4 linked regions of the Diceros bicornis minor genome follow. The protein of the gene in region 2 interacts with the protein of the main gene of each other region in a biochemical or structural test. Links are inferred from orthologs where the notes say so. Each region holds a gene or a part of one and is shown on either strand. Other genes may lie near its edges. The genes, in order: LRP8, APOE, MAPT and LDLR.

What was found.
Region 1: the proteins of APOE (region 2) and LRP8 form a complex in vitro, tested with the Homo sapiens proteins (2 studies listed by BioGRID). The link is inferred for Diceros bicornis minor from reciprocal best matches to the Homo sapiens genes APOE and LRP8.
Region 3: the proteins of APOE (region 2) and MAPT form a complex in vitro, tested with the Homo sapiens proteins (2 studies listed by BioGRID, with this or other methods). The link is inferred for Diceros bicornis minor from reciprocal best matches to the Homo sapiens genes APOE and MAPT.
Region 4: the proteins of APOE (region 2) and LDLR interact in a biophysical measurement, tested with the Homo sapiens proteins (2 studies listed by IntAct). The link is inferred for Diceros bicornis minor from reciprocal best matches to the Homo sapiens genes APOE and LDLR.

What each region holds. Positions count from the first base shown.
Region 1 is NC_080752.1:15,652,452-15,660,163, forward strand, and holds the start of LRP8 (low-density lipoprotein receptor-related protein 8), read right to left. Parts: upstream 3,017-7,712; 5' UTR 2,896-3,016; coding exon 2,784-2,895; intron 2,020-2,783; coding exon 1,900-2,019; intron 1-1,899. UniProt on the Homo sapiens protein: Cell surface receptor for Reelin (RELN) and apolipoprotein E (apoE)-containing ligands. LRP8 participates in transmitting the extracellular Reelin signal to intracellular signaling processes, by binding to DAB1 on its cytoplasmic tail.
Region 2 is NC_080773.1:19,265,579-19,273,097, reverse strand, and holds APOE (apolipoprotein E), read right to left. Parts: upstream 3,019-7,519; 5' UTR 2,957-3,018; intron 2,621-2,956; exon of another isoform or gene 2,451-2,620; intron 2,203-2,450; 5' UTR 2,180-2,202; coding exon 2,137-2,179; intron 1,630-2,136; coding exon 1,428-1,629; intron 1,105-1,427; coding exon 399-1,104; 3' UTR 272-398; downstream 1-271. UniProt on the Homo sapiens protein: APOE is an apolipoprotein, a protein associating with lipid particles, that mainly functions in lipoprotein-mediated lipid transport between organs via the plasma and interstitial fluids.
Region 3 is NC_080757.1:44,467,246-44,474,548, reverse strand, and holds the start of MAPT (microtubule-associated protein tau), read right to left. Parts: upstream 3,018-7,303; 5' UTR 2,924-3,017; intron 1-2,923. UniProt on the Homo sapiens protein: Promotes microtubule assembly and stability, and might be involved in the establishment and maintenance of neuronal polarity.
Region 4 is NC_080769.1:8,291,958-8,298,965, forward strand, and holds the start of LDLR (low-density lipoprotein receptor), read right to left. Parts: upstream 3,014-7,008; 5' UTR 2,906-3,013; coding exon 2,839-2,905; intron 1-2,838.

The sequences.
Region 1 (7,712 bases), on a different chromosome or scaffold from region 2:
TAACAGCTCTATTGCCAATCCTCCTCCTTTTTTTTTTTTTCCCCCCAAAGCCCCAGTAGATAGCTATATGTCATAGCTGCACATCCCTCTAGTTGCTGTATGTGGGATGCGGCCTCAGCATGGCCGGAGAAGCGGTGCGTTGGGGCGCGCCCGGGATCCGAACCCGGGCCGCCAGTAACGGAGCGTGTGCACTTAACCGCTAAGCCACGGGGCTGGCCCAGAAATGCACAGTTTCTATTTCCCTGCCTCATCCTCGGCACCCACTCTATGAGGGGACCACAGAAGAACAACTCCCAGTGATGAGAGTCGCTTTAATATTCTACGCTGGGACAGCCATTTTCCTAACCCCAGTAGCACTGGGGAACGGTCAGGGTCATGATTAGGCTAAGAACTCTGGAGTCAGATGCTGAAATTCAAGCTCCTACTTCGCAGCTCCATAGCTGCGGGGCAAGTGACTTAATCTCCCGCGCCTCGGTTTGTTTCTTCTGTACAGCAGGACCGTTCTGAGGACTGAAGGGTTTATATAAGACAAGCACTCCCCACAGGGCCTGGCACACAGCTGACAGTCAGCACATTAGTCATTACTTCCAATCGCCTCACTAGAACTGGTCCTCAAAACCAGAGCAGGAATCACTAGCCTAGCGATCAGGTGAGGAGACTGAGGCGGGAGGGAAGGATGTGGCCAAGTCACAGCCCACTCACGGTTGGGCCTGAGACAGTGAACCCAGAGGCTGACTGGCAAACCCAGAAAAAAACCTCGAGGACTCCACAGACAATGCCTGTCCAGATACCCGCCCCACTCCCCGCACTGTGTGGAGCTGTGGGTCTGCCCCCGCCCCCCGTAGACCCTGTGTTCCCCGGCCTGCAGGTGCGCTGTTCCCCAAAGTGCCCCAGCGCCCGGCACACAGCGTGCGCTCAGGGACCAGGAATGAATGACTGCCTGCGTCCTGTTTTTCTGTTCCTGGAACTACACTCCTTCCACGGCGACAACTGCCCATTAACTGCACCCTGTCCCACAGACATCCACGACGGCGCACCCAAAGAAAGAACTCCCAAGGCGGTCACACCCGCGTGTACAAACATCACACCCAGCCGAGGCGGCCCGCACACGGGCGGGGGTTCACGCGCGGCCTCGGGATCCCGGGGCCCCTTCCAGGAAACAAACTCTTCCTCCTGGCCCCCTCCTTCCTGGTCTGCCCCATGACTCATGCCCGAGCAGGGCGGGCAGGAGAGCGCGGTCGGCTAACCAGGGTGGCACAAAAAGGTCTTCACGGTGACTATGCAGAAAAGCAGAGGGCCTCGCCGGCACCTACTTCCCGGGGGATGCGCGCGGGGGTGCGGCCGGGGCGGGGCCCCTGCGCCCAGGGTGCCGGAAACCTGCACGCACGCCCGCTCCACGATTGGCCGCTCCGGCCACGGGGGCCTATGGGGTGGTCCTCGTCCAGCCAATCAGGGGCCCCGGGGAGCCCATTCATTCACAGACCGAGCAGGGAAAGGAGTGCCGCGAGGCCCGGAGCTGCGTGGAACTTTGAAGCAGGCGTGCGTTCGGTGGGGCCGAGGCAGGAGTCCCGGAGGGCCCGACCGCAGAAAGCTAGACGCGTGCAGGGACCGCCGAGTCCCCGCCCACAGTTCCGACCCTGCCTGCCGGGCGTGGCGCGCCCTTCTCCCGGGCCACGCCGCCCCGCGCTCCGCCTCCAGCCCCATTAGGACACGCCGGCCGCCCAGCTCCCGCCGTGTCGCTAAGAGCCATTCAGCCCCGAGGGAGGCGGCGCCCAGTTGGCTTCCTGGCTGCGGGCTCCGGCGATGAGGTCCACGCATCTGGCCCGGCGGCGGCTGCAGCCACGTGCGCACTGAGCCTGGCGCCCCCCACCGTTCCCTCCCTCCCGGCCGGCCACTCACGGCAGTCGTCCTCGTCGCTGTTGTCCGAGCAGTCGTCGTCCTCGTCGCATCTCCACACGGAGGGGATGCAGCGCTCGTTCCGGCACCGGAACTGGTTCTCTTCGCACTCCTTGACCGGCCCTGCGCGGGGGAGAGCGGGCGTGAGCCGGATCCGCGCGGGCCATGCAGTCCTGGCCGCGGGGAGGGATCTACTAGGATGAAGGAAAGGGGGGGATGCTGGAGCCAAGGGCCCCAGGGGCCTCGGGCACCCTCGATCCGGAAGGAGGGCAGGATGGTGGGGGTTCCTGGGATGGCGGGCTGCTCCATGGTAGGAGACTAGGCACACACCGTCGGTGTCACACGACTTAGGTATACCTCCCATTCAGACACACTCACCCGCACACTCGGCCCACAGTCAGAGATCCACGCAGACACAGCGCACAGGGAGCCCCGAACACGCCAGGACACCCACAGTGGGCGCTGCGGGCACATCCCCCTCGCACACAGCCCCTCTTTCAAGGCGACACGCAGGGGTCCCCGGAAACGCATTGTCAGGCAGGGAAGTCGCTAGGCTCCGCTCACCGCCGCCGCGGAGCGCGCGTGTCAAATAAACCTCAACGGCGAGAATCACACAGCCCACCCGAAACCATCAATAACCACCCCCCGCAAAGTTCCCGGCAGGCCAGGCCCCCACTGCGCCCATCCCCCGCGAGCAGGTGCCGGAGGGCAGAGCCCACGACGCAGGAGCCGCGGGGGGTCGAGGGCAAACGAAGAGATGGCTGGGTCCCGAGGAGCCTATCCACCCGGGCGCCCCGACCAGGCCTGGGCTCGGGGCCTCGCCGCCCCCCGCCCCCTGCCCTTCGGCCCCCGGGCCGCGCTTTGTTGGCGGCTCCGGCCGCACGCACCTTGGCCGCCGCGCAGTGGATCCGCCGCCGCCGCCGCGAGATGCTGGAGCCGCAGCAGCAGCAGCAGCAGCAGCGCCAGCGGCCGGAGCGCGCCCCGCTCGGGGCGGCCCATGGCGGGCCCCGGGCTCCGGCCGCCGCGCCCCACGCACCCGGTGCCGCCCCCGCCGCCGCGCCTCAGCCCGCCGAGTCCTCGCCGCGGCGCCGGGGCTGCCGCTGCCCCCGCCGCCGCCGCCGCCGCCGCCGCTGCCGCCCGCCCCGGCTCCTCGGCTGCATTTCAAGCAGGTTCCGTGACGCTCGGCGGCGGGGCGGGCTCAGGCTGGGCGCGCGGCCCCGGCCCTGGGCGGCCGCCGCCAGCGCGCGCGCCCCTCCCGCCGCCGCCTCCGCCCCACGCCCCTCCCGCCGCCGCCGCCTCTGCTGCCTCCCTCACGTCCTTGGTCCTCTCCTTCCTCAGCAGGCGCTTGGTGACCCTGCTCTGGGCCCGCCCGCGTGCTGGGCGCCGCAGACGCTGGGATGAGCCAGGCGAGGCCCCTGCCACCCAAAGATAGCAGACAGTCCAGAGGAAGCAGCACAGGCTGCCTGGAGGAGGTGACAGGCTTATAGGAGGCTGAGGGATGCCTAGGAGTGAACCTGGGCGGGTGGGGAGATGATGTTCCCCGGTGCACAGGCCTGTGCAGTGTGCACGTGGAGCAGGAGTGGTGATAGATAGGGGTTGGGGTACCCGGATGTGTGTGATCGAGAAGGTGGGGGAGCAGGGCGGGACCTCTGCACCCCTCACTGGCTACAACCCCATATTACACATCTGTGTAGCTGGTTAATGCAGCCATGTGCATCTGTGCATGTTACACACTCATGTGACCACGGCCAAGGATGTGAGGCAGGTGGCTTGGGCCTGGCCCACAGACTTTATTCACCCATCCTTATTCGGTACTCTCCACGGGGCCAGGCAGAGGGGCAGACAAGCAGGGGACCAGCAGGGACAACATGTTAGTTCTTGCTGTGATGGAGAGGGCAGGACCGTGGGGCACCACAGAAGGGATTCGTCATCCCTGCCAGTAGCGGACACACACCCAGGGCCTCTGGCTACCTCTGCTGCCTCTGCATGAATGAGAAGCCCCCTCTTCTGGAAGGTAGCAGCCCTGCCTCACTTATGCCAGGGTGCAGAGTGTAGAGGGCAGACCTGGGACTAGATTTTAGGTGCCTGCTGATAATCGAGGCCCAACCCACATAACCTTTTTTGGACAAAGAGGTTTGAGAGCATTGGCAGCTAACAGAGGCAGGCTTGCAGGTGCCTGGGCCCAGTGTAGGTCAGCTCTCCCCCACCCTGTTGCTCCCTCACCTCTATGGCAGAGGGGCAGGAAAGGGGGCTTCAGGAGCTGTTAGCCCCAGGCCTGGAAGCCACTCTGTCTCATTAGCAGCCTCCTGAGCTCTATTACTTCCCACAAAGGGCAGCCCCCTCGACAATGGCCATGGCCACCCCACGGGAGAGAGGTGCAGACCTCAGAGAGTGCGGCAGCTGCTCCTGCCATTACCACCTTCTATCCTTTGTTCATTCGGTTCTCCAACAAGGCCAGCCCTGCTCTGTGCCAACCCTGTCGTGGGCCTAGAGTACCAACGTAAATCAGACCTGCTACCAGCCCCAGTGAGGTCCCTGACTGGCCAGGAGACACACCATCAACAGGCAGACAGTGAAATGCAGGCATACTTTCAACAAAAACTCGCTGAGCACCTACTATGTGCCAGGCATTGTCCGAGGCCTGGGGATACCACGTAGAAATAGATGCAGTCCCTCCTTGCTCTCCTGCAGCTTACGTCTTAGTTGGGAGAGACAGACACAAAAGCAAGAAAACAAAAAAGATCATTTCAAGGGCCGGCCCAGTGGTGTAGTGGGTAAGTTCACACACTCCACTTTGGCGGCCTGGGGTTTGCAGGTTCAGATCCCGGGCATGGACCTACACACCACTTATCAAGCCATGCTGCGGCAGGCGTCCCACATATAAAGTAGAGGAAGATGGGCACGGATGTTAGCCAGGGCCAATCTTCCTCAGCAAAAAGAGGAGGATTGGCAACAGATGTTAGCTCAGGGCTAATCTTCCTCACTAAAAACAAGATCATTTCAGATCCTCATAACTGCTATGGAAAAATAAAACAGGGTGATGGGAGAGTGATGAGAGGTAACTTTAGAGAGGTGATCAGGGAAGGCCTCTCTGAGGAGGTGACATTTCACTGAATGGCGAGAAGGAGCCTGATATAGATTGAATGTTTGTGTCCTCCCAAAATTCATATCTTGAAACCTAATCCCTAATGTGACAGTATTTGGAGGTGGGACTTTTGGGAGGCAATTAGGACATGATTGAGATTAGTGCCCTTATAAAGAGGCCCCAGAGAGATCTCGGGCCCGTTCTGCCACGTGAAGACACAGCGAGAAGATGGCCGTCTGTGAACAAGGTAGTGGGCTCTCACCAGACACCAAATCTTCACATGTCTTGATCTTTCAGCACCTTAATCCTGGACTTCCCAGCCTCCAGAACTGTGAGAATTAAATTTTTGTTGTTTATTAGCCACCCAGTCTGTCACATTTTGTTATGGCAGGGAATGGACGAAGACAGTGCCCAGCCACGTGAAGATCGGGTGGAAGGGCATTCCTGGCGGAGGGAATAGCAGTGCAGAGGCCTTGAGGTGGGCTGGAGCTTGGTGACGAGGAGAGGGTGGGTGCCCCAGGTGAGGTCGGAGGGAGTCAGTGAGGCCCTGATCACAGGAGGGCTTTGTAGACACAGCAAGGAGTTTGGATTTTGTTCCAAGCACAGCAGTGCCCGCTGTGACAGCAGGATGCCTGGGACTGTGGAGCCCCTCCTGCAGCCCAGATTGACCCCCAGCTCAGCCTCTCCTCCTTCACTCTGTGGTCTTAGGAGAGTCAGTCCCCATTTCTGAGCCTCAGTTTCTCATCTGCAAAATGGGGAAGACAGGGAATTTCCAAGGTTCCTTCCAGTTTTAAGATTATCGTGTGGATTGAAGTTCAGAGGCAGCAAGGTAGGGAGATGAAGAGCACAGGCTCTGGGTGAGTCTGTTCCTTCCCTTCCTAGCTGTGTGACCTTGGGCAACTCTCTTAACCTCTGTGGCTCAGTTCCCTCATCTGTAAAATGGGAATGATGACAGGACTCACAGGGTTGCGAGGATTATGTTAGATGAGATTATGTATGCACAGCGTGTAGTTCAAACATAATTCCCTATTCAAAACCCCAATGACTTCCCAACCCTCAAGAATAAAGATTGAAGGGCTGGCCCAGTGGCGTAGTGGTTAAGTTCACGTGCTCAGGTGGCCCAAGGTTCACAGGTTTGGATCCCGGGCGCAGACCTACGCACTGCTTATCAAGCCATGCTGTGGCAGGCGTCCCACATGTAAAAAATAGAGGAAGTGGGCACAGATGTTAGCTCAGGGCCAATTTTCCTCACCAAAAAAAAAAAAAAAGAATAAAGATTGAGCCCAGGCATCCCTTGACCTCCCCTCCAAAGGGGGTCTTTGCTCACATGTCTCACACACTCCAGTTGCCAAAATGGGCAACTCCTTGTCCCTCGACAGCACCCTCATCAGAGCTTCTCCAGGCTCCTCTCAGCCCCCACCCAGCTGGGTCACTTCCCTTTGTCCTAGTCAGCCTGCAAACTCTCTGAGAGCAGCAACCAGCTCTCCTGCATTCTGGGTCCCTGGCCTGGGACACATCTGACCAATGTTTGTTTCTGCTTTTACTGAAAGTTTCTGCACCCCTCGGAGGACTATGTCTGCCTCATCCTTGTTTCCAGAGGATAAAAACAAGCCTTGGCACATAACAAGCGTTAGATAAATGATGTGTAAATACTTGAAACCGTTGAAAGGGAACCTTATCGAGTAATAATCATCGCTAATGCTTGTTGGACACTTGCTGGGGACAGGAACTGTCTTAAGTGCTTTAAATGCTTTAACTCATTTAGTCCTTACAATATCCCCACGAGGCAGGTCTTACGTTTATCCCATTTTACAGATGAGCAAACTAAGGAATGGGGAGGGCACACAGCTAGCAAATGACAGAGCCAGCATTCGAACCCAGATAGCAGAACTGGAAATTTTTCAGGGCATAAGTTGGTTAATTTCAGTGAGGGGCAAATGGAGGGAACCTAGCCCTCAGCACACACCAGACACCAAATGGGTCCTGAGGGCCTGGTATCGCTTCTTGTCCTCACCTGTCTTCTCTCTCCATCCTGGGCTGACTCAAGTATATGGGCCTTGTCCGCTCCTGGATTTCCAGAGAAAACCCTCAAACCCAATCTCAAGTGCAATGAATTCCCCATGAGACAGAAACAAGTGACATTCCACCTACTGTCAGCGTGGCACCCTGCCCCACCCAAGCCCCCACATCCCACCTCCAGAGCCACCAGAGGCTCAGCAGCCCACCCCATGCACACTCTACCCCCTTATCCTGCTCCCCAAGAACTGGAGCTTCAGGCCTCTGCCAGGCTATACCCTCTGTCTAGAACACTTCTGCACTGGCTGACTTCTGTTCATCCTTTGGGCCTCAGCTCAAGTGCCTCCTCCTCTGGGAAGCCTTCCAGCCTCCTCCAGAGAGGTCTTCCCTGCTCCTCTGGGCTCCCACAACATTGTGTGTCCCAATCACTCTGCTCACACTGGGCTGTCAGTGTTGGCTCCTCAAGTCAGAAACGGGGTCATCCTGGTCCTTGCTGTGTCCCCAGTGATGACTTGTTAAAGGGAAGTGTGACCGTATGAATTCTCACCAGGACCAGGGCCAGGGCCAGGGCCAGGGCCAGAGGGCCCTCTGCATACACCTCCCCACGCCTGCTCTGGCTGGCCTTGTGCTAGGTGAGGGGCACAGATAAACAAGACTCCATTCCTGCCCTTGAGGATCCCTGGTCTGGGGGCAGAAAGTGACAGTGCAGGGTGAT
Region 2 (7,519 bases):
CCCAGGGGTGGATTTGTTGTAGGACTTGTTTCCTGGAGACAGAATGGAAACAGAGGCAGAGAAGCGAGAGTGAAGAGTAATGAGCAGAGACACTGGAAAAAGGGAAGGCTCAGAACGGGGACAGAAGGAAGCAGAGACTGAGAGATGTGAGAGAAAGCAGCAGACACACATGGGCAGAGGGGACAGGAGACGGAGCTGTGTGGCCCCTGTGGGGCGGGAAAGAGAAGCCGAGGCTTGAGCCGTGAGAAATCAGACACGCACACACAGCAGCTGCCGTAAAGCTCCATGCATCTTTATTAATCCAGGGCCCACCAGGAGGACAGCCGGGGTAGGGAGGGCGCCTCCTGCAGGCTGGGGGGGGAGGCAGGGGGCGTGGCGCAGGAGCGGGGGCAGGGCGCTCACTGCTTCTCACTGGGCACAGAGGTGGGCACGGCGCCCACGGCCAACTGCACCTTCTCCACCAGCTCGGCCCACTTTTGCTGCATGTCTTGCACGAGGGGCTCGAACCAGCTCTTGAGGCGGCCCTGGAAGGCCTCGGCCTGCAGGCGCACCTGGTTGGCCTGCTCCTCCACCTTGGCCCGCACCTCCTGCACCTGCTCACGCACCTCGTCCAGGCGGTCCCCCACCGGGAAGCCCGCCTTCTCCAGCCGCCCGCGCAGCCGCTGGGCCCAGGCCTCGGCCCGCTCCTGCAGCGGCTTGCTGACCAGGGTGTGCACGGTGGCGGCCTGCTCCGCCAGCGGCCCCAGGTGCTCGCGGAGCGTGTTCACGCTGCGCGCGGCGCCCTCCCGGATCCCGGCCTGGTACACCGCCAGGCGCCGCTGCAGGTCCTCGGCGTCGCGGAGCAGTCTCTTGCGCAGCTTCCGCAGGTGGGCGCTCAGGCGCCCCCGCAGCTCCTCGGTGCTCTGGCCCACCATGGCCTGCAGCTCGCCGCGGTACTGCGCCAAGCGGCTGCGCACCTCCTCCATGTCCGCCCCCAGCCGGGCCTGGGCCGCCTGCAGCTCCTTGGACACGCGGGCCTTCGTCTCCTCGGTCACGGGGCCCAGCTGCTCCTCCAGCTCCGACTTGCACGCCTTCACCTCCTTCATGGTGTCGTCCATCAGCGCCCTGGGGGCCGAGAGGGCGGAGCGTGGGCGTGGAGAGGGAGAAAGACCCGGCGGTGGAGGGCAAGATGGGGACAGAGAGACCCCGAGAGGGAGAGACGGGAGAGGAGGAAGGGCCAAGACAGAAGCAGAGATGGGAGGGAGGAGTGTGAGCGACCAAGCTAGCGTGATGGAGGGAGGCAGAATCAGAGGGAGGGAAGGCCAGGGCCTCGAATGGAAAAAGGAAGCAAGAAATGAACAGAGACAGAAAGAAACCCAGACCCGTGGGGGCTGAGTCCAGAAGGAACTGCCCACCAGGAGGGTCAGGGGCCAGGGGGGGACACTCACGTCAGTTCCTCGGTGACCTGGCTGCTCAACAGCTGCTCCTGCACCTTCTCGGACAGCGTCTGCACCCAGCGCAGATAGTTCCAGAAGCGGCCCAAGGCCTGCTCCCAGGGCTGGCTGGCCTGCCACGTGGCCCACTCCTTCCCCAGCTGCACCTCGGGCCCCGGCTGCACCTCGGGCCCCGGCTCCACGTCGGCCCCGCATCCTGCGCAGAGCAAGTTCCCGGCGATCAGGGCTGTTTGCCCGCTCCAGGCACACAGTACCTGGTATACAGTAGGTGCTCCACAAATGCTCATGCGCTTCTCCAGCGCACGAGTGGGCAAGGAGCGGGTGGAGGGACGCCCGGCCTATTTAATCACTTGACATGCATTTATTGAGGGGATCTGTCTGTGCTTCACGTAGGGCCGTGCTGGGGTGATGGAGTATTAAAATAATCCCAGTGACACTTATCTAATGCTCATTACCTGCCTCACAACAATGCATTAGAAACTGTGATAACTCCCGTTTTAAGGATGGGGAAACTGAGGCCCAAAGAGAGGAAAATGGCGGCTCAGAGTCAGTGAATGTCAGAAGAGGCCTCAGACCTGGGCCTCCCCTCAAGGGGGCGACAGACCAGCAGAAGAGGGGACCCAGGGACGGAAGGGGGGCAAGGAGTCCACGGGAGGACGGGAGGGGGAGCGGCAGGGAGCCTGAGCATGCCCCGGCCCCATACCTGCCAGGAGCGTAACCACCAACGCAGCCCACAGAACCTTCATCTTGCCGTCTGCGATTGGTCAATCTGCGGGAGGGAGACACTGTCAATCAACAGCCAGTAGGACTCTTCCCACCCAGAGCCCCGCTGCCCCCGGTCTTCAAAGGCTTTCCCCCGCCCCAGATGGGCATCAGCTTAATCCAATCACAAACATTTACCGAGGCCCCTCCCTTGTCTATTTAGATCCCTCCTGTCTTCTCCTATCTCCCCATCCCCGGGTCCGCCTCCGCCTCCCAAATTCCATCCCCCTCTCCCAGGGTTCAAATTCCACTCACTCTGCCCCGAGTTCCCGGTGAGTCCCAACAGGGCTTTCTAAATTCCAACCTCGCATTCCTCGTTCTACCTTCACATTCTAAGCTCCAACTTCACATCAAGTGCCATCTTCCATACATTAGCTAATTTAATCCTCATTTAAAAGTGCGCCTTCAATCGACGCTCTAGCTGCCCCGCCGCCACCTCTGCGCCTACAATTAATGGAGATCTGAGGACGATGGGGGCACCCAGCAGGCGCTTAATAAATGACAGTCTCAATTTGTGGCTTTTGCTATGGCTCATCCGGGTCTTCCTACAGGCCAAGGTGCTCCCCCCACGCCACCTTCCAGCCAAGGCGGGAAGCCCCTGAGACCCACCCCTCCCGTAGCTCCGGTCCCCTTGCCTCACCCCCAGCTCCCACTTCTGTCCCGTCCCATAGGACAGTCACCTCCTCTCCCCGAAGCCCGTTCCCCACAGAAGCCCTAAGCTGGAATCTGTGCCCCCTCCCCTCCCCCGCTCTGCTTCTCACCGGTCCTGGGGAACCGTGTCCTTCGCCTCCGCTGGGGCTGAATAAAACTCAGGGATCCAGACTCGTCCAATTAAAGGGCTGCCCCCTGCCCCGCCTACTCCTCCCGAGCTAGGACCAGCTGGGCCGGCCCCCAGTCACGAGGTGGGCTGTTCCCCCCTTAGCACAGCAGGAAGGGGGAAGGAGGTGGGGCTCGCAGGCCCTGTGACCCCCCCCCAACAGTCCTCACGAAGGGAGGTGACATCTCACCCAATTCTGGGAGGCTGGGTATGGAATGGACAGGAGCTGGCAGCTGCCCAGAACCCCCATTCCCTGCCCCTCTCTTTTTCTGTGGATGAATAACATTTGAGGAGGGGGCGGGGGGCCGGAAATCCTGGAGCACAGGAAGGAAGGGGCTGGGGGCTTGGATTCCTGAGGTCTCAGAGAGCAGGGGCTGGGGGCCCAGACAGAAATGGGACAGGAGGGGTGGAGACAGTGAAAAGCATCTGCTAAAAGCAGAGGCTTTGAAAGTGCAACCTGGGTTTTAAGCCCAGCTCCCTCTTTGGCTGTGACCTTGGGCACAGGGAAGAACCTCTCAGAGCCCCTTTTTCCATTTATAAAATGAAAAGCCAGCATTTCGCCCTAAACCTAGCATTGTGGATTCCAGGAGCCCACAGACTGTGCCTTTTTCAGGGCACAAAGCATTCCTGTTGCTCAGTTAGGACTGCAGACTCTGGAACCAAATGGTCCAGGCCTGAATATGGGCTGCCAGCTGTGTGACCTTGGGCAAATGACCTAGCCTCTCTGAACATCCAGTTTCTTGGTCCACAGAACCAGGAACTAGCTACGCTTACACAGTTGTTTGCTGATGAAACAAGCTACTGGACGTGGGAAGTCCTGAGGACAGACCTGGGACACAGTGGGTTCTGTATTAGAGCTGACTGCTGTGAGTGGCCACGAAGAGCGCTCCAATGCTGTCACCTTCCCAGCAGCCCTGTTACATGAATCCCAGCTGTTTCACAGATGACAGACAGAGGTTCAGGGATGAGGTGGATGGTGAAGCCACACAGGAGGACCTGGAGGAGCTGGGATTTGTTCCTGGTCCTTCCAGGGTGTGGGAACCTCGGATTCCATGGGGTCAGGGGAGGCCAAACGCCTACTCTCAGAAAGGGAGCCTCAGTGCCAGCTGGGCCCAGGTTGTTTGCTTTGGCCTCAGAAGTTGCTGGCAGTGTGGGTGGGGGAGCTCCTCTGGGTAATGAGGGGTCATCTCTGCCCAGCCACCTCCCGCCCAGACCGTGCATGTGGGTGACAGACGGGGTTTCAGTTCCCCTGTCTGGAGGGGATCAGGGGTGTCAGCTCATCTGAGCCCTAGGTGGCAAATGCGACAGCTCCTCGTCCTCCCCTTCAGAGGCCTGAGACACGGGGACCCAGCCCCCACCCCTCTCCCCACCTCTGCCTCAGACCCCAGCAAGTCCCCAGAGGCCTGAGTCCGGGAGCCCAGGCCCTTCTCCCCCTCAGACACAGTCATTGATTCTGAAGCCTTTCCAGGTGCCTGGATTCTTCCAGAAGCTTCTGATAGCTCTGACCTTCCTATCAGAAAGAAGTCTTAAGACCCCATCATGACTTGTCTGTGTTGGAAACTGGAAGGACCTTGGAGTCCCCGCTTATCGTCCCCATCCCTGCCCTCAGAGACAGCGTCATCCCTGTGTCCACAGCTCCCAGGGACAAAGTCCTGTGCAGCCACTCTGGCCAGGTCCAGCTGGGGTCAAGGGACCGAAAGACCGCGCCCCCCTGCTGAGGGAAGGCCTGTGATGCCCCAGCAGGGCACAAGTCAGGGGCCGTGTGAGCCAGGGCTGGGATATTCCCCTGTGAGCTGGGTCCCGGCGGCGGCCAGGCTTGACCCCCTGTGGGTGGCGTCAGGCTTTTGGGCGCCGACACTGCAGCGCCCCCTACCGGCCACCGTGGGAAGATCGGCCGGACGGAATGGGCAGAGGCCAGAGACACGAGCAGGACAACCCAGGCCTCCCGTTTCGCTTTTTTATGTATATTTTTTGTTCTTGTTTCTTTTTTTTTTTTTCTGTAAAATGTCCCGGTTCTTCCATAACTTATAAACATGATTTCTACCGAGGGGCTGGGAGGGAAAGGGGGCGGGGCGGAGGACGGGGGTGGGGAAGCTCCTCTCCGCGCTGCCCCCTCGGGGCCGGGCACAGGGACCTCCGGGGGACGGCGACGCCCCGACACCTCCCTGAGGTTGTGGCCGCCTCTGCCCCTGGTGCTCAGAATCCCGCGTCCTCCCGGATTCTGGAATCCCTTCCCGGATCCCGGCCCCCTGGGCGCGCTGCCCCTGCTGCTCCGACCCTGGAGCCCCCGTGGTTCCGGACCCCCCTCAGCTGCTGGGGCGGTGGGTCCCCTCCGTTGCGCTGCCCCCGGACCCCCGAGGAGGGAGGGGAGGGCGGGGAGGGGGCTGGGTCCCCCCCCCACGAGGCAGGGGCGGGGAGGGGTCTGGAGGAGGAGGGCGTGGAAGGCGGGCAGGAGGGCTCAGCCGATGGTGAGGCCGAAGCCGCACTGGAACTTGTTCTTGCGGTGGTTCAGGAAGGCCCCGAGGGCCAGCGTCAGGGGCAGCGGGGGCAGCTTCTTCTCCAGCGTGGCGCCCACGATCCAGTTGCTGTCCACGGAGCCTGTGGGGGACGGCGGTGCTGAGAGCCGGTGCCGGCCGCCCGCCCTGTCCCCGTGGGCTGGCAACCAGGCCGCCTCAGATGCCACCAGCCAGCCTGCCGGTTCCCAGACCTCCGACAGGGTTCCCGCACCAGGTCCCTCGCCCCTGAGAGCAACGGCCTTATTCCTCTTCCTCCTCAGCTCTCAGCTCAGTGACCTCCCCCTCCAGGAAGCCCTCCACCCCCCATGGCTCCCCCAGCCCAGCTGTGTCCACACGAAGTCATCACTCTCTGGGAATGGGCCTGTCCCCTCCACTGTGCGCCCTGTGAGGACAGGGCCTGGTCACCGTGGTGTCCCTAGCACCCTCAGCACACGGCTGACCAGAGCAGGTGCTCAGAATCTGCCGAATGAGAGACTGAAATCTCCTCTGGGGCCCAGAGCCTTCCAGATGTGTGAGTGCATGGAGCCGTCCCCACACCCTGGAAAGGGGTGATCACTCATTTAACGGGAGCAGAGAAGCAGCCGACCTGGATCTCAACCCCCTGACACCAGGCTGAGCGCGGAGCCAGGGTCAGGAGGCCGCAGGGCAGGCCTCAGAGGCAGAGACCCAGGACCTCAACACCACCTCAGAGCCCTGCCCAGGCAGACTGAGGCAGCAGCCAGGGAGCCTTCACACACCCCACATTGAGAACCACTGAGGTCCCAGAAGAGACTGAAGACTGAAGACTAGAGCCAGTCAGCCCAGGGGAAGGTTCTGGATCTGGCTGTGACTGTGCAACCTCCAGCGGCCTCAGTTTCCACTAATGTGAGACGAGTGGGGCGGATGGGCTCCAAGCTGCAGTCCACTCATGACCAAGGAGAGAGAGGGCCGAGGGCAGAGAGCGGAGGGCTGCTGGCGGGGTGGGGAGCAGCATGGCGGGTGCGAAGCTCAGGCCCCGGCCCCCAGCTTCTGAAGAAGCGTCCCAGGGAGTCTGCAGGTCCCCAACAGTCCCAGCTCGCCGCTCTCACCATCTCCTATGCCTACACACCATCTAGAGCCGTGTCGTCTCTCGTGTGTCCTCCAGGAGGAGACTGAGGCCTGTACCATCTCCTCTGGCCTGCACACCCTCTAGAGCTGAGTCCCCTCTCGCCCGTCCTCCAGGAGGGAGACTGAGGCCTGTACCTTTGAAGAGCAGGTTGGCCTTGGGCAGGTCCAGCTGGTACCCGAAGGAGACACTGGTGTCCTGCATCCTTGTGCTGGCCTCAAACTCCACGCCCACCTGCAGCTGAGGGGCCCGGGCAGCAGAGTCAGCCTCCCGGCTGCGCTCCCGGGCACTCCAGCCCCCAGCCACCCCCGCCTGGATGTGCGTCCTGGAGCCGGTGTCGGATGAGCTCACCTGGTCACTGGCTTTGTGGTAGTAGGTGGCGTGCTTGCCTGCCTGGCCCAGCGTGACCGTCACCAACCAGTTGTTCACTGTGAGAGAGGGTAGGGGTGGGGCAGGTTCCCAAGGGGACTTGGGCCTCTGGGATCCCAGGTTCCCCTCCTCCCTGAGACCCCAGGCTCCAGACCCCCAGTCCCTCCTCCCTCAGACCCAGGGCTCCGACCCCAGGCCCCTCTTCCCTTGTACCCAAGAGTCTGGCCCCAGCCCCTCCTCACTGGGACACAGGATTCCGGACCCCAGCCCTGACTCTACCCTTGCGCCCCAGGTTCACATGTGTATTATTTCCCCGCTAGAGACATGACAGTGCCCTCCTCCCCGGGCCGCTGGTGGCAGACCAGCTCTCCACCCAGGGCCAGACCCCGCGTGATGCTCTGCAGCTAGTGAGCCCTGAGGATTCTGGGCCTGGCACTGTGTGTCCAGCCAGATTCCTGCTCCAAGTCGCCTTCCAGGCTCCCCGCTGCTGAAGGCTCTGGGTCTGCCCTCAGGCAGGACTCGCCATGTGGAGACTTCT
Region 3 (7,303 bases), on a different chromosome or scaffold from region 2:
GGCGCGGCGGCAGGCTCAGAGCTCCATCGTCGGAGCACGGGCGCCAACGCTGCATCCCTCCACATCCTGGGGGGAAGCTATTTAGTTAAAGCTCGCGCAGAGCCAGGGATGGAGTTTCCCGATCCGCGTACGAAGTACCATCCTCTGGCCCCCAGGATTCCTCCATTAACAGCCCCCAGGTCTAGCCGACCCGAGAACCCCAACAAACCGCCAATACATTTCAAAACCAAGCGAAATCGCGGACGCCTGGACCGCGCTTTGTTCCCGGCACTGGGCTAAATGCGCTCGCCCCCGCCTCGCTCCCTGTCCCGCAACTGACAGGCGGGGACCTCTCCGCCCGCGCGCGGTCCGCCCCAGGCCGCGGTCACCGCGAGCTCCCGTCCCCAGCGCCGCTCCGAGACCCTCGCTCTGTCTGAAACCGGAATCCTGCGCTCCGCTCTATGGAGGGGCGATGGAGAGCGGGGAAGATACTCGAATCGATCCTTGAGGCTCTCCTGCAACCCACGCGCGGCGGGCCGCGCTCTGCAGGAAGGCCTCGCAGCACCGCGGCTCGACCCCCGACGCCACAGCCGGGGAGGTTCGGCCTGGCCCCAGGCGGCCTCTCGATCCCGAGCCGCGCCATTCCTTCAGCTCAATCGGCGCCGCTCGCGTGGATGGTTCGGCCCCTAAAATGCTCATCCCTCTCAGAGCTGCGCCCTCGCACCAGTTTTCAGCGATAGAATTAACCAGAAAGCCGCACGGACCGGCTCATCGCAGGAGGGCGATGCTCGGACTTGTTGGTCAGGGGTCGGTACCCGAACCCCCCGCACTGCCCCCTCCCCACCGGTTTCAAGGGCGTTGGTGAACTCGGGCCCTTTAGTGAAAATTCCGCACGTTTCTAAAATAATATTCGGCCACAATAATAAAAATACACGAGGAACGCCTATCCGGGTGGCTGCGGCCGCCGAAAGGCAATTAGGAAGACCAACAGACTCAGGGTTGGGGGGGGTCTCCCTCCAGGAGGCCGAGGGCGCGCTGCCCCCCCTTCCCCAGGACTCTCAATCTCTGCCGGGAAGGGGCGGGGCAACGCCCTTAGCTCCGTTCTCCCGACGCGTGTGGTTTCTATGGCAACCTCATCTCCGCGCCCCCCTCCCAGTCCGCTCGGGAAAAATGGGTGTGGCCTGCAGCACCGGACGAAACCTCGGGCCCCCTCCTCACATTCTCCTGACTGGCGAAGCAACAGCGCGTGAAGCGGAGAGGGGCGCGAGCTACCCCCCGACCTCCCAGGGGTCGCCGGTGACCCTTGGTCCGCAGGCTGGTGGGGCGTGGCCCCCAGGAAGCTCTGGGTGTGGGGAGGGGCGTCGTCCATCTGCGGCCATCCGTACAGCGCGCGCAGACCTCGAATCCCACCCCATCGGCCTCGCGGACGCTTCCCGGCTCGCGGCCTGGCTCCGGGAGGGGGCCGCGCAGGGTCACGCCCGTTCCATGCGTGCCCCCGGGGCTGTGACTCGAGTTCCTCGACCCCAGCAAGCCCCGAGATCTAACAAAGGGCTCGGAAATGAGGGGCGAAAACCGGGGGCCTTGGTTAAACACCCTCATAGAAGAAAAGCCAAAAAACCAAGGCTGGCAACGCGGATCATGTAAGCCCGACAAACAAAGCAGCGAGACCCCCAGGAAGATCCTGGGTGAACGCCCCTGGGGCTCAAGCCCGCAGCAGCAAAAACGCCAAGATTTCAGCGCTGATTGCCCCCCCCCCTTTAATGACAGTCCCCGCCCTGTCCTCCGAAGCCCAGCCACCCGGCTTGGCATGGTATCGTAAAGAGGTGACACGCCGCGAAAAGATGGCACCTCGCGTTCAGAGAGGAAAAAAGCGGGGGTGGGAGTGGGAGGAGGCACAGCCCACCCTCCCCCTTCTCGCCCACCCGGGTCCACACCCACTGCCGCAGTGAGGGGCGAGCCCTGCGCGCCAGCCCCGCGCCTCCGGCAGGGAGCGCTCACGCTGGACGCCGGGCGCAGGGCGCAGAGCGCAGAGAAAGGCGCCCGCCCCGAAATGCACCTGCAGCCCCCGCGCCGGTCTGTGCGGGGCTGTGGCTGTCAGCACCCGCGAGCCGGGATCGGCCTCTGCCGAGTCCTTCCACATCGCCAGGCCAGGTGACCCCTGCCTTTCCGAGCCTCCACATTGGGATCCGCGCACTACCTTCTCTCGAGCACGGCGCTGCTCGAATCTCGGTGCCAGGCGCGCGCAGGGGGAAGGGCAACTAAAGTGACAGCGCCCGGACCCCTCCCCATCTCACGGCTTCCAGTCCCAGCCCCCAAATGTCCCCTGCGGGTTTCTGAAGGAGGAAAACGCAGAGGGCGTGGGCCACTGCCTTAAATCAGGGGCAGCGAAAGCCCGGTTGGAATTGCTGCCGGGGAGGTGTAGGGAGGGGCAGGCAGGGAATCATCTTTTCTAGAACCCAATCCATACCTTCCTTAGGGCTGACGGCAAACCGAGACAGAGAAATCGGATAACAGGTTCGGCTTCTGGGGTCGTCATTGGAGCCCCCCCACACACACACACATAGACACACGCCCATTGCGGCAAAAGGCGGCGACCGAGAGTGCATGGAAGCCCCTTCTCCCAGGTCACCGCCATCCGCGCCCCGCCCTGCGGGCACAGCCTGTGCCCGGGTCCGCGCGAAGCGGGTCCTGTGGACCCCCCCCCCAGCGCGCACACACACACACACACACACTCACACGCGTGCGTGCATCCCTTGCATGGGTCCCTTTCCAAACAGCCCAAGTCCCAACCCTGGAGCGCAGAGGGCGCAGGGAGGGGCCTCCGCCGTTGCCCCCGACCAATGCCCACCTCATGAAACCCATCTCTGCGGCGGGGCGCCAGGGGCGGCGGCATGGGGGTGCAGCGGGGCGGACAGGGAGGCAGATTTCGGAGCCTCGCGCTTACCTGATAGTCGACAGAGGGCGACGACAGTAGAGGAAAGCAGAGGAGAAAGTGGCTGTGGTGGCGGCGGCAGAAGGTGGGCGGCGGCGGCGGCGGCGCTGCTGCTGGTGCCGGAGCTGGTGGGTGGCGGAGACTGCGAGCGCGCGCACCAGCGAGAGGGCGCGCTCCCGAGACCGGCGGGCCGCGCAGGCGCGAGCAACGGGAGCGCGAGCCTCCCCAGGGGAGGGGCGGGCAGCGAGGCCTCCGCGGGCGTCTTCTCCTCCGGCCACCAGTGGGCGCGCGCGAGCAACCCACCGCTCGGCCCTCCCCTGCCTCCTACCTCGGTCCTCTTGGCGCTTCCCTTCCCCGGTCTCCCCTCCCCTCACTCCTCAGGCCGGGCGCTGACCGCCACGCGCACGCGCGAGCCGTGGCGCAGGCGCACTCTACGTCTCCTCCCGCTGCTGGAGCCTTTGTTTTGTCTGAGGGGTGTCTTCTCTCGGCAGGGTGGCTTGGTTGCTTCTGGGGGCGGGAGGAGGCTGGGTTTTCCGCTCCCAGATCTGCTACCCTTTTCATTCCCGTCGTGCCGGGATGATGTCCTATCACGGAAAGGTCCCGAGCGGGTTTCGCCATGGCTGGCTCCCCAGTCTGTCCACCTGGACTCAAGGCCAGTCCCAGGCTGGCCCTCCTTATCGCTGGCCGGGCACCCTGACTCTCCCGAGTCCCCAAATGTTCCCCCTTGTTGGAGATCAAGTTTCCCTGGGTCTGCTTCCTTTCAACTTGCTTTCCTTCTAGCTTTTTTGTTATTGACCAAGGAGAATCCTTTCCTTAGCTAATCCACTTAAAACACTCAGTTGTTAATACAGTAGTGCAGTTTTTTAACAAAGAGCATTCGAATCTATTTATCTAACTGTGACCCTAGAGTAAAATCTTAAATTAGACCAAGATTTAAATGGCGCTTATTACATTGTAAAGCATTTTCACATAAACAGTTATTTTTACCTCGTTTGTTGAAACACTGTTATACTGGAAGTAGAGCCTGACATCTGAATTTCTAAGTGCCTGGGGGAGGGGGGGGAGATTCTCACCTGGCTAACACACCTCTGACAAACTGACCAGAGGCCTTCATTCTCTCAGTCGCCCAATACGATATGGGAGCTTGTATTGAAGTTTTTTTTTTTTTTAATTTTTTGTTTATTGCAGTAACATTGGTTTATAACATTGTAAAAATTTCAGGTGTACATCATTGTACTTCTATTTCTGCATAGATTACATCATGTTCACCACCCAAATACTAATTACAAGCCATCACCACACACATGTACCGAATTATCCCTTTCACCCTCCTCCCTCCCCCCTTCCCCTCTGGTAACCACCAATCCAATCTCGGTCCCTATGTGTTTGTTTATTGTTGTTATTATCTACTACTTAATGAAGGAAATCATACGGTATTTGACCTTCTCCCTCTGACTTATTTCACTTTGCATTATACCCTCAGTGTCCATCTATGTTGTCACAAATGGCTGGATTTCATCGTTTCTTATGGCTGAGTAGTATTCCATTGTGTATATATACCACATCTTCTTTATCCATTCGTCCCTTGATGGGCGCTTAGGTTGCTTCCAAGTCTTGGCTATTGTGAATAACGCTGCAATGAACACAGGGGTGCATGTACCTTTACAAATTGGTGTTTTCAAGTTGTTTGGATAAATACCCAACAGTGGAATAGCTGGATCATATGGTAGTTCTATCCTTGATTTTTTGAGGAATCTCCATACTGTTTTCCATAGTGGCTGCACCAGTTTGCACTCCCACCAGCAGTGTATGAGAGTTCCCTTCTCTCCACATCCTCTCCAACACATGTTGTTTCCTGTCTTGTTAAGTATAGCCATTCTGACGGACGTGAGGTGATGTCTCATTGTAGTTTTGATTTGCATTTCCCTGATAGTTAGTGATTTTGAACATCTTTTCATGTGTCTGTTGGCCATCTGTATATCTTCTTTGGAAAAATGTCTGTTCAGGTCTTTTGCCCATTTTTTAATTGGGTTGGTAGTTTTTTTGTTGTTGAGATGCATGAGTTCTTTATATATTTTGGAGATTAAGCCCTTATCAGAAGTATGGTTTGCAAATATCTTCTCCCAATTGTTAGGTTGTCTTTTCATTTTGTTGATGGTTTCCTTTGCTGTGCAGAAGCTTTTTAGTTTGATGTAGTCCCATTTGTTTATTTTTTCTATTGTTTCTCTTGCCCGGTCAGACGTGGTGTTTGAAAAGATGTTGCTAAGACCGATGTTGAAGAGCGTACTGCCTATGTTTTCTTCTAGAAGTTTCACAGTTTCAGGTCTTACATTCAAGTCTTTAATCCATTTGGAGTTAATTTTTGTGTATAGTGTAAGGTAAGGGTCTACTTTCATTTTTTTGCATATGGCTATCCGGTTTTCCCAACACCATTTGTTGAAGAGACTTTCTTTTCCCCATTGTATGTTCTTGGCTCCTTTGTCAAAGATTAGCTGTCCATAGATGTGTGGGTTTATTTCCGGGCTTTCGATTCTATTCCATTGATCTGTGTGTCTGTTTTTGTGCCAGTACCATGCTGTTTTGGTTACTATAGCTTTGTAGGATGTTTTGAAATCAGGGAGTGTGATACCTCCAGCTTTATTCTTTTTTCTCAGGATTCCTTTAGCTATTCGCGGTCTTTTTTTGTTCCATATAAATTTTAGGATTCTTTGTTCTATTTCTGTGAATGATAGAGATGGGGACTGATTTCTTAAGCCACTGGTTCTGAGTCTCTGGAATCGACCTTTTTGTTTTTGTTGTTATTCCAACTGCCACCATCCTAAAGACCCTTACCTTGGTTCTGGACATGTAGTGACCTTACCAGTCTCCCTGCTCTCTGTTTCTCCCTGTATCAGCCTACCCTGCACCTCCTTGTGAGATCAACCTTAAGAAGGAATCATTTTAATCATGACACTCTGTTGCTCAAAAATATCTAAGTGGCGCCTAAGTGAAGTTAAACTCCTTAGCCTTAAACACCCCAGCCCCCACCCCATCACTTGAGCCCCTGTCCTCTCCAGGTATATCTCTCATCTACTCTGGCCAAATGAGCTTGTTTGCAGCTCTTCCCCATCTCTACTCTGAGGTTTTCCTTTGCCTAAAAAGTCCTTGCTCTGTCCCCACCCCACCAATATCCTACCTAACCTTCAAACTCTAGCTCAAATTTTACCAAAGCCTCCCCTAATCATCCCAACTGGAAGGGATATTTCCATCCTCTAGAAGGAGCTTAGCAAAGCTACTCATCTCCTTTCTCAAAGTGGAGAGATGAGTGGAATTAACATCAATCTTGCAGGACTGAAGTGTTATTATTGTCCCCAGTTGTTGCCTTTCCCCTTTTCCTGCATGGGGATTGTATGTCCTTGCCCCTTATGGTGAGACCTGCGTTGCTCCCAGTCTCCACTCCCCCGCTGTTGTTTGGTTAGGCTGTGTAATGGTCTTTGTAATGTGTCCGAGCTGAAGCTTTAAGAGGCATTGAGAGTTCCTGCCACTTTTACTCTTTCCCACCACCACCAGAATGGCATGTCCCTATAGGGCTGCTGCTTCTGCCTAGGTCCCAGAATGAAAAAACTCAAGGAAGTACATATCACATGAGCCAGAAGTAGACATTTATTGTGTGAATCACCGAGATTTTGAGAGTTTGTCACCACAGCAAAGCTGACTGATAGAGGGAGTAAATGAGAATATATATATTCTCATTTATATATATATATATGTTTCTTACACAGTGTGTGTGTAAAATTTCTTACACAGTGCCTGACGAATAATGGGCATTCATGAAATGATAAATAGTAGTTAGTTATTTCATCATCATCTTTATTACCTATGCTTTTGCTGTACATTATTTTATTTATATATGTAGAATAAACTGTAGTAGTCAAATTAACACTCCCCCATTCAAATTTCTCATTTTCTTTCCTTTAAGATATAGGATAATTGTGAACTGACAGGGCCTGATGACACTGTGGTCCCCTGATGCTGGGTGATCACATTTGCCTACATTAAATTGAGGTAATGAATGCTCGAAACAATCTTAAGCAGATTTGTCATCTAACTGTATGTAGTGTGGAGCTGAGTGTTCATTCCAGATAATTTAATCACTGTAGGTAGGTAAAGGCTCACGAATTCAGGCCAAGAAAATGCATTCCCTCCCTTCCTCCCTGCCCCTCCCTCTTGCTGAAATAGGAATCTCATGGCCACATTCAGCACACCGTGCCCACCGTACAGAACCACAGAAGGTAGAATGACATAGGAAGAGAGAACTGGATTAGGTTTCAGAACTGGATTAGGTTCAGAAGAGATGGCTAATCTTAGCCATCTTGCGTGACCTTAGACAAAATCATTAACTTCTCTGATCTT
Region 4 (7,008 bases), on a different chromosome or scaffold from region 2:
ACAGCAGGCAACACCGTCCTGAGCAAGCGGACAGAACTAGCCCTGTTTCAACACCACAGCCCCAGGAAACTGGACATTGTTATTTCCTCCCCATTGCAGAAGCAAGGTTTGGCTTTGCCATGTCAGTTTCATTTGAATTTCAGCAAAAGCAAACTGGAACAGGGCTCCCATATCTCCTCATCCTGAGGATGCCTAAAATTACCTAAGCAGTGCATGCCCCCCCCCAAAAAAACCCTCTAAACTGTAGCCCTTAGATCTCTCTTGCCACGGGTGACAGATCACGAACAAGGTTATCGAAACAGAAAAGGAGAATACACATTTCTGCTTTTTCGTCAGCACACAAATGAGGTGGTAAATGCTGTCGATGTTTTCTTTCCCATGCTACTGAAGATACTCGCTGTACAGGGAAATCGAATGGTAGGTGGAATGTTTCCTTGCAAAAAGAAACGGCTGGCGTTACCAGACTCAGCTGAAAATGATGAGAAATCAATTTACCAGCGCTTTTTTCCAAACTAGGTGACGTCAAGGTATTTTCCCCAGGAGTGGTCTCGAATGGTAGATTTTGCTGCCAGCTCCTTTGGGGAGGGGTAGCCTGTTTCTGTCACTGTTCACGGCTGTTACTTCCACAGTGTCTTAGCAACAAACGGTCACTTGCTTGACAGCCAGGCAAAGTGGGGATGCTATTAATGTACTTAATGTGTAATGTGAAGAACAACAAAGGCATCTAGAATTAGATCTTATCAGGGGAGGAACCCCACAGATCTGAGCAGAACTAACTAGAATAAGGCACGTAATGCTCCTTGAAGATTTGCAGTCTCAAAAAAGTTCTCCCTGTCTTTGGCCAATGTTGTCCTGGAACAAAGTACACTCTGTAATGACCAGTGAATCCCCTGGGGCATGTTGCCAAAGCAGACACAGCTCTTAGCAGCAGGCTCTCCTTTCTCTGAGTTTGGGTGTGCCCTTGGCACACTCGATACCCCACGCACAACATTAACTGCTTTTGATCTGGCTAAGTGAAGGCACACAGTTCAGCGCCCAGCTACTTCTATTGCCAAAGGAAACGGACATGAAATCCTTTTCCCGCAAATGCTTTGAAGACAGCTAAGGAGCAAGCCGGAGCAGCCAGGGCTGCGACAAATACACAACAGGGTTTTCACCCCAGTGGAGAGACGTAGATGCCAGCTCTCCGCGGTCTGGGGAGCACATCAGAACTGAAAGCCTCCTTGAGAACCGAAGATCCATCAGATCCTCAGCCACCCAGTGAGAGAGGAAACTAAAGTAAGCCACTCATCTTGCTCAAGACTTCGCTGCCATTATTGTCTCTTAGGGAAGGAGTCCAACAGTGTGAAATACAGGTTAACCCAGTGTCTCTTGAGCAAGCCTCTCTCCTCCGGCTTCACACACCTGGGTGGCCGAATTCTTACAATAATCTGCTCTGTGGGGCTGCCACCTCCCTTCCTCCCCTCCCAGCGGAAGCGGATGTGTCACAGGGTCGGATTCCGAATTCAAAGCCACCTCCCTGCCAATGAAAAAGGCTTCCTGCCATTCTGTTGAGCAGCCAATGCCCGGCTGGGCTGGCTCTGAGCAGGAAAAGGACCATTTATCTATTTTCCAGGGCGAGGTCACATGCCTCTGGCAGCTCACTTACAGCCACCGGATTACTCAGGATCGCGCACCAACTCGCCTCTTGCCCGAACCTCAATCTGAATCTCCCTAAAATGAAAAGTCCTCAGGACCCGCTGGGAGCCTCTGAACAAACAACGCAACCCTGAGGCGTCTGTCCGGTGTCGCTGTCGCCCCCCAGCTGACGGTCTCCGCCAAGTGCCCTTCGCGTCCGACCGAGGAGGGGCGAGTGTTTCCGAAGCAACATTCCGCCTCGGAAGGAACCGGGGCCCTGAGGGTGGCCTGGGGACACCTCCGTGAACTTGACCCGGGCGGGCAGGGCGAGGGCGGCCCCGAGGACTAAATGGCGACGAAGGCCTTGTGACAGATCCGGGAGGAAACCGGGGGCACCCGGGCGCTCGGCGGGCGCCTCATCCACGCTCGCGGAGGCGACACCAGGGGCCCGGGACGTGTCGCCCTGTTGTGGCAGGAGCCCGGGACGGACGCGAGGCATCGCCGTCGTCGCCTCACCGAGAACGAGGTGTGGAGCGAGCCCTGCGCCAGCCCCGCCCCACTCGTGCGCAAGCCCCGCCCACGCCGCGCGCGCCTCCGCAGTCGCCGCCTCCCATTGGCCAAGGGGAGTGGCTCGAGGCTCGCCTGTTCGAATCGCGCCCAATAGGAGCCAGGGGGCGGGGCCGCGGGCTGGGGGCGGGGCTGGGGCGGCGGCTTTGGGCAGAAGCGCGCATGAGGGGCGAGGGGAGGATGCGCGGCGACCGGCTCCGGGAGCCGGCGGCGCCCTTGAGCGGCACAAAGCCCGCTTGGCCGCAGCGGTGACCCCTGCCCGTGGACGCGCGCGGGGGAGCGCCCGCAGGGACCTCCAGGCTGAGCAGCCGGGCTTCGGGTCACCCTCGCCCCTAGAATGGCTCTAGAAGGGGGTCCCTCCTTCCCCAGAGCTGGAGATGCCGGTACCCCCGCTCTGAGGAAGACAAGGGAGAAACCCGGGGGGGAAGCCACACCCCGATTCCCCTGACTGCTCCAGATCCCCCCAAGCCCCGCGCCCCCCTCCGCGCTCCCCCACGCGGCTTCGCCCTTGGCGAAGGACTTCGTGCCATTTTCCCACAAGCCTCCCAAAGATGGAGTTATTTTTCGCTCTACCCCCCAAAAAAATTACCAAAGGGCTCCCCGAGTTCGGGAGGCTCATCCGCACCCCGCGCGGGCGCCTGGAGCCAGCCTTACCTGCAGCCCCCGCCGCGGCGAGCAGCAGGGCGATGGCCCAGCGCAGCCCCCAGCCCGCGAGTCTCATGGTCCCAGCCTCCGCCAGCAGCGCCCCGGCCCCGGCCCCTGTCAGCTGTGTCGGCCCTGGAAACCCGGGCTTCGCGCGGCCCGGCAGCGACTGCACGCGGGGCCCCAGTCATTTGCGGCATTTCAATGTGAGGTTTCTCGCGGGGGAGGAGTTTGCAGTGGGGTGATTTTCAAATATCTTCGCCTCACTGCCGGAGGAGGAGTTTGGAGAGGAGGAGTTTCGAACGGCTGATGTTACATGGGCTTCTTAACCCCTGAAACCCTGACTTGCATTCCAGCCCTTTCCAAAGCCTCTCCAGGGCAGGCCGCTTGATTTGTCATTGGTTTGGTAGCCCGGAAGAGCTGAGCCCCCCCCCAAATTGGAGATGAGCCTCCTGAAAGATGTCTCTTTAATTTGTCTTAACTTTTAATTGCCACATTTCCCTTTGGTACCCAAAGAAGATTGTTGATAACCATCTGTCCTTCCAAATGGTCTAATTGGTTAACGACATCTCCCCTCTGCCTCGAAAGGAAAAAGTACAAATCTTGGAAAATGTCTCCCTCTCCTTTCTCTACCAGCTTTTTCCTTTCTAGGAATTGCAGATAGATTTTAACTGAGTTTAGTTGTACATAGTTTTTAGGTGGTTCTTCCAAATCGCCATATAAACTAATCAACGAGGCATTTAAGAAAAATCTTCAAAAGTACAGCCAAAAACTGATTTTGTTTCTTGGGATCCAGGCTTGACATATGAGCCAAAATATTTTTAAAGTTAAGTGACCTGATACCTGGAGTCTGGACGTAAATATTGATGTATTCTTTTAGGAGAAGGAGTTGCATAAACAGAAGGGCAGCTTCCTCTCCCCAAAGTAAAATTCAAACAAAACGAGGGCTTTCAGAGTTGAACTTGACTGCCTGAGCCCCGGAGGGCTGATGGAGAGCAGCTTTCAAGAATCAGAGAGTCTAGTTTTTTTTTTTTTTTTTGCTGAGGAAGATTGGCCCTGAGCTAACATCTGTGCCCATCTTCCTCTATTTTATATGGGATGCCGCAACAGCATGGCTTGATGAGCACTGTGTAGGTCTGTTCCCGGGATCCAAACCTGCGAACCCCGGGCCGCCACAGTGGAGCGCACGAACTTAACCACTACGCCACCAAGCCAGCCCCTAGAGAGTCTGTTTTGGGATTCATGAGGTTGCCTGCCAGAGCCCCCTTGCCAAAAGAGCACATGTGGGGATCTTGTCTGAACCCCACAAAAAGTCTGGCAGACTTGGAGGGTTCCCCCAGGAATTTCTCTGGGGTCTTACAAACTGGGGAATTGGACAGACCTAGGGCAGTCAGTCAGCCTTCAGAGAAGATAAGCCTGCTTCCCTTACTTGGCAGGTTCAGTGTCAGGGTCAGAGGACATAGTTAGCAACCACCTGGAGAAATTTACAAGGATGGGCAAGTTCTCCGAGTTGTTACGACATTTACAAATGTGTCACCATCGCATTCCATTCCTTATACCGAACGCCACATTTTTTTTCTTTTTATGTCTGTAAGAGCACTGGGTTTGATTGCCCTTCAGAAAAATTACAAGACCTGGCAAGCTCGGTTTCTGTTGTGAGCTCAACTTTCTGTATCTGGTGGTGGGAGGCCTTTTCTCCCCAACGGGCCTGGAAAGGGTTAACGGGAAGAGGTTTTCTTCCAGGAAGGAACTTAGTTTAGCATGTTTCCAGAGCTAGTTCAACACTGATGTAAGGGCAGACCTGGAAAAGGGCCACAAAAGGCCTGGAAAGAACATTCCTCGGGTGCCAAGGCCTGAGCCCAAGCAAGGTCTCCAGGACAGCTCTCCCCATCTCCGCCTTGAACCTTCCTTTGGAAATCTCAAGGCCCCTTCTGTCCCTGCCACGAATGGACCTGGTCACGTGTTGCTCTGAGAATGGGGGTCACGCTGTGTAATTTCTCTAGTCTGCTTCTTGGAGCCTCCATTTCCTCTTCCGTAACTAGCTCACAGGGTTGTCGTGAGGATTAAGTAAATTAATATATATACAGTCATCCCTCGGCGATGTGGTGGGTTCCCTTCCAGACCACAGCAACAAAATGCATATCGCAATAAAGCGAGTCACACAAATTTTGTGGTTTCTTGGTGCATACAGAAGTTATGTTTACGCTATCCTGTAGTCTAAGTGTGCAATAGTATTATGTCTAAAGAAATAATGTACATACCTTAATTAAAAAATACTTTATTGCTAAAAAATGCTAAACATCACCAGAGCCTTCAGCGAGTAGTAATCTTTCTGCTGGTGGAGGGTCTTGTAAAAAACGCATTATCTGTGAAAAGCAATAAAATGAGGGCTGTCTGTATATAGTGATTAGAACCGTGCTTGGCACATAAGCACCAAATATGGAGTTTGCTTTTGTTTTTTTTTTTTTTGGCTGTGTTCGTGTTGCAACTGCATCTATTTTTTTTTTTTTTCTTCCCTCAAGGAAGACCTTCTGCCTCAGAGGCACTTAAAAATAATCCTTCCATGGAAGCCACTTCATTTGGAAGATCCTGGGCTGGCAAAGTCATCTGCGACAACCCAGGGTAAGCGTTTTCCTCATTCTAATAGACAGCCCACCTGTCGTGGGTTTTGGCTCATTAGTTCACCAGAAGGCTCAGACCAGAGTAGGTCTTCAGCCAAAGGAGTCCGGCCTTTTGGCAGAGGGGAGCCATGGCAGCTGCAGTCTGGCCTGTGGGCCAGCAGGCAGCAGAGAGAGTGAATAACTGCGTGAGCCATGGTGCCTTCCAGTAGGTTCCATTAGGGACCTGCCTTGACCCCGTCCCCATCAATCATCTCCATAAAACCCCCATAAGCCACGTGAGGGCAGAGTCCATGGCTTGTACCTCCCCTGCCTGCCTGCAGTAAAGGTAAAATGAGTAAATGAAAAGAAAGAAATTCTTGTTGGAGTGGCTGCAACAACAGCAGAGATGCACCCTTCCTGAGTTCTACTTGCATTGGGATTTTGATGATTAGGAACTCAAATTTTGTCCTGGGCTGCCAGTCCTTCCTTTCAGACAGAACACCAGACTCGAAAGCAAACCTGTACTGGGGACACAGAGAAAGCCTTGAGTCGGTGGTCGGGGGAGACTCAAAACTGACCAAGGTACGACCTTGTGCTCCAGGACTCCAGGAGAGAGAACAGGGCAGGATCTTCTATAAACAATGGGCCCATGCAGTGCCTGAGAATTCAGAGGCTGCATTTAGTGTGAGAAGTGGAAAGGTACTCGAGAAAAAGTATATTTTCGTTTAGTATGAAGAGTCGAAACATTCCCGTGGTTCAAAAGTAAAAAGCCTTGATGAGGAACAAGGCAAGGATGCCCACTTTCATCACTTCTATTCAATTGGAAGTTCTAGACAGTGTAATTAGGCAAGAAAAAGAAATAAAAGGCATCCAAGTTGGAAAGGAAGAAATAGAAAAGAAGTTTTATATGTAGAAAACCCTAAAGAGTCCACATACACACAAAAAACTGTTGGAACTAATAAGCGAATTCAGCAACATTGCAGGATATAAAATCAAGACACAAAAAACAGTTGCATTTCGTACACTAGCAAAGAACAATCCTGAAAAGAAGTTAAGAAAACAATTCCATTTACAATAGCAACAAAAAGAGTAAAATACTTAGAAATAAATTTAACCAAGAAGGTGAAAGGCTTGTACACTGAAAACTAAAAAATGTTGCTGAAAGAAATTAAAGACACAAATAAATAGGTTTTATTTCTGTTCATGGCTTAATATTGTTAAGATGTCAATACTACCCAAAGCAATCTACAGATTCAATGCAATCTCTATCAAAATCTCAATGATGTTTTTTATTGGCAGAAAAAGAAAAATCCACGCTACAATTCATATGGATTCTCACGAGACCCTGAATAACCAAAATAATCTTAAAAAGACCAAAGTTGGAGGTCTCATACTTCGTGATTTCAAAACTTACAACAGAGCTACGGTAATCAAAACATTGTGGTGTTGGCATAAAGAAAGACATATAAACCAAAGGAACAGAATAGAGAACCCAGAAATAAGCCCTCGCATATACGGTCAAATGATTTTTGCAGGGGTGCCCAGGCCATTCAATGGGGAATGCACAGTCATTACAACAAAT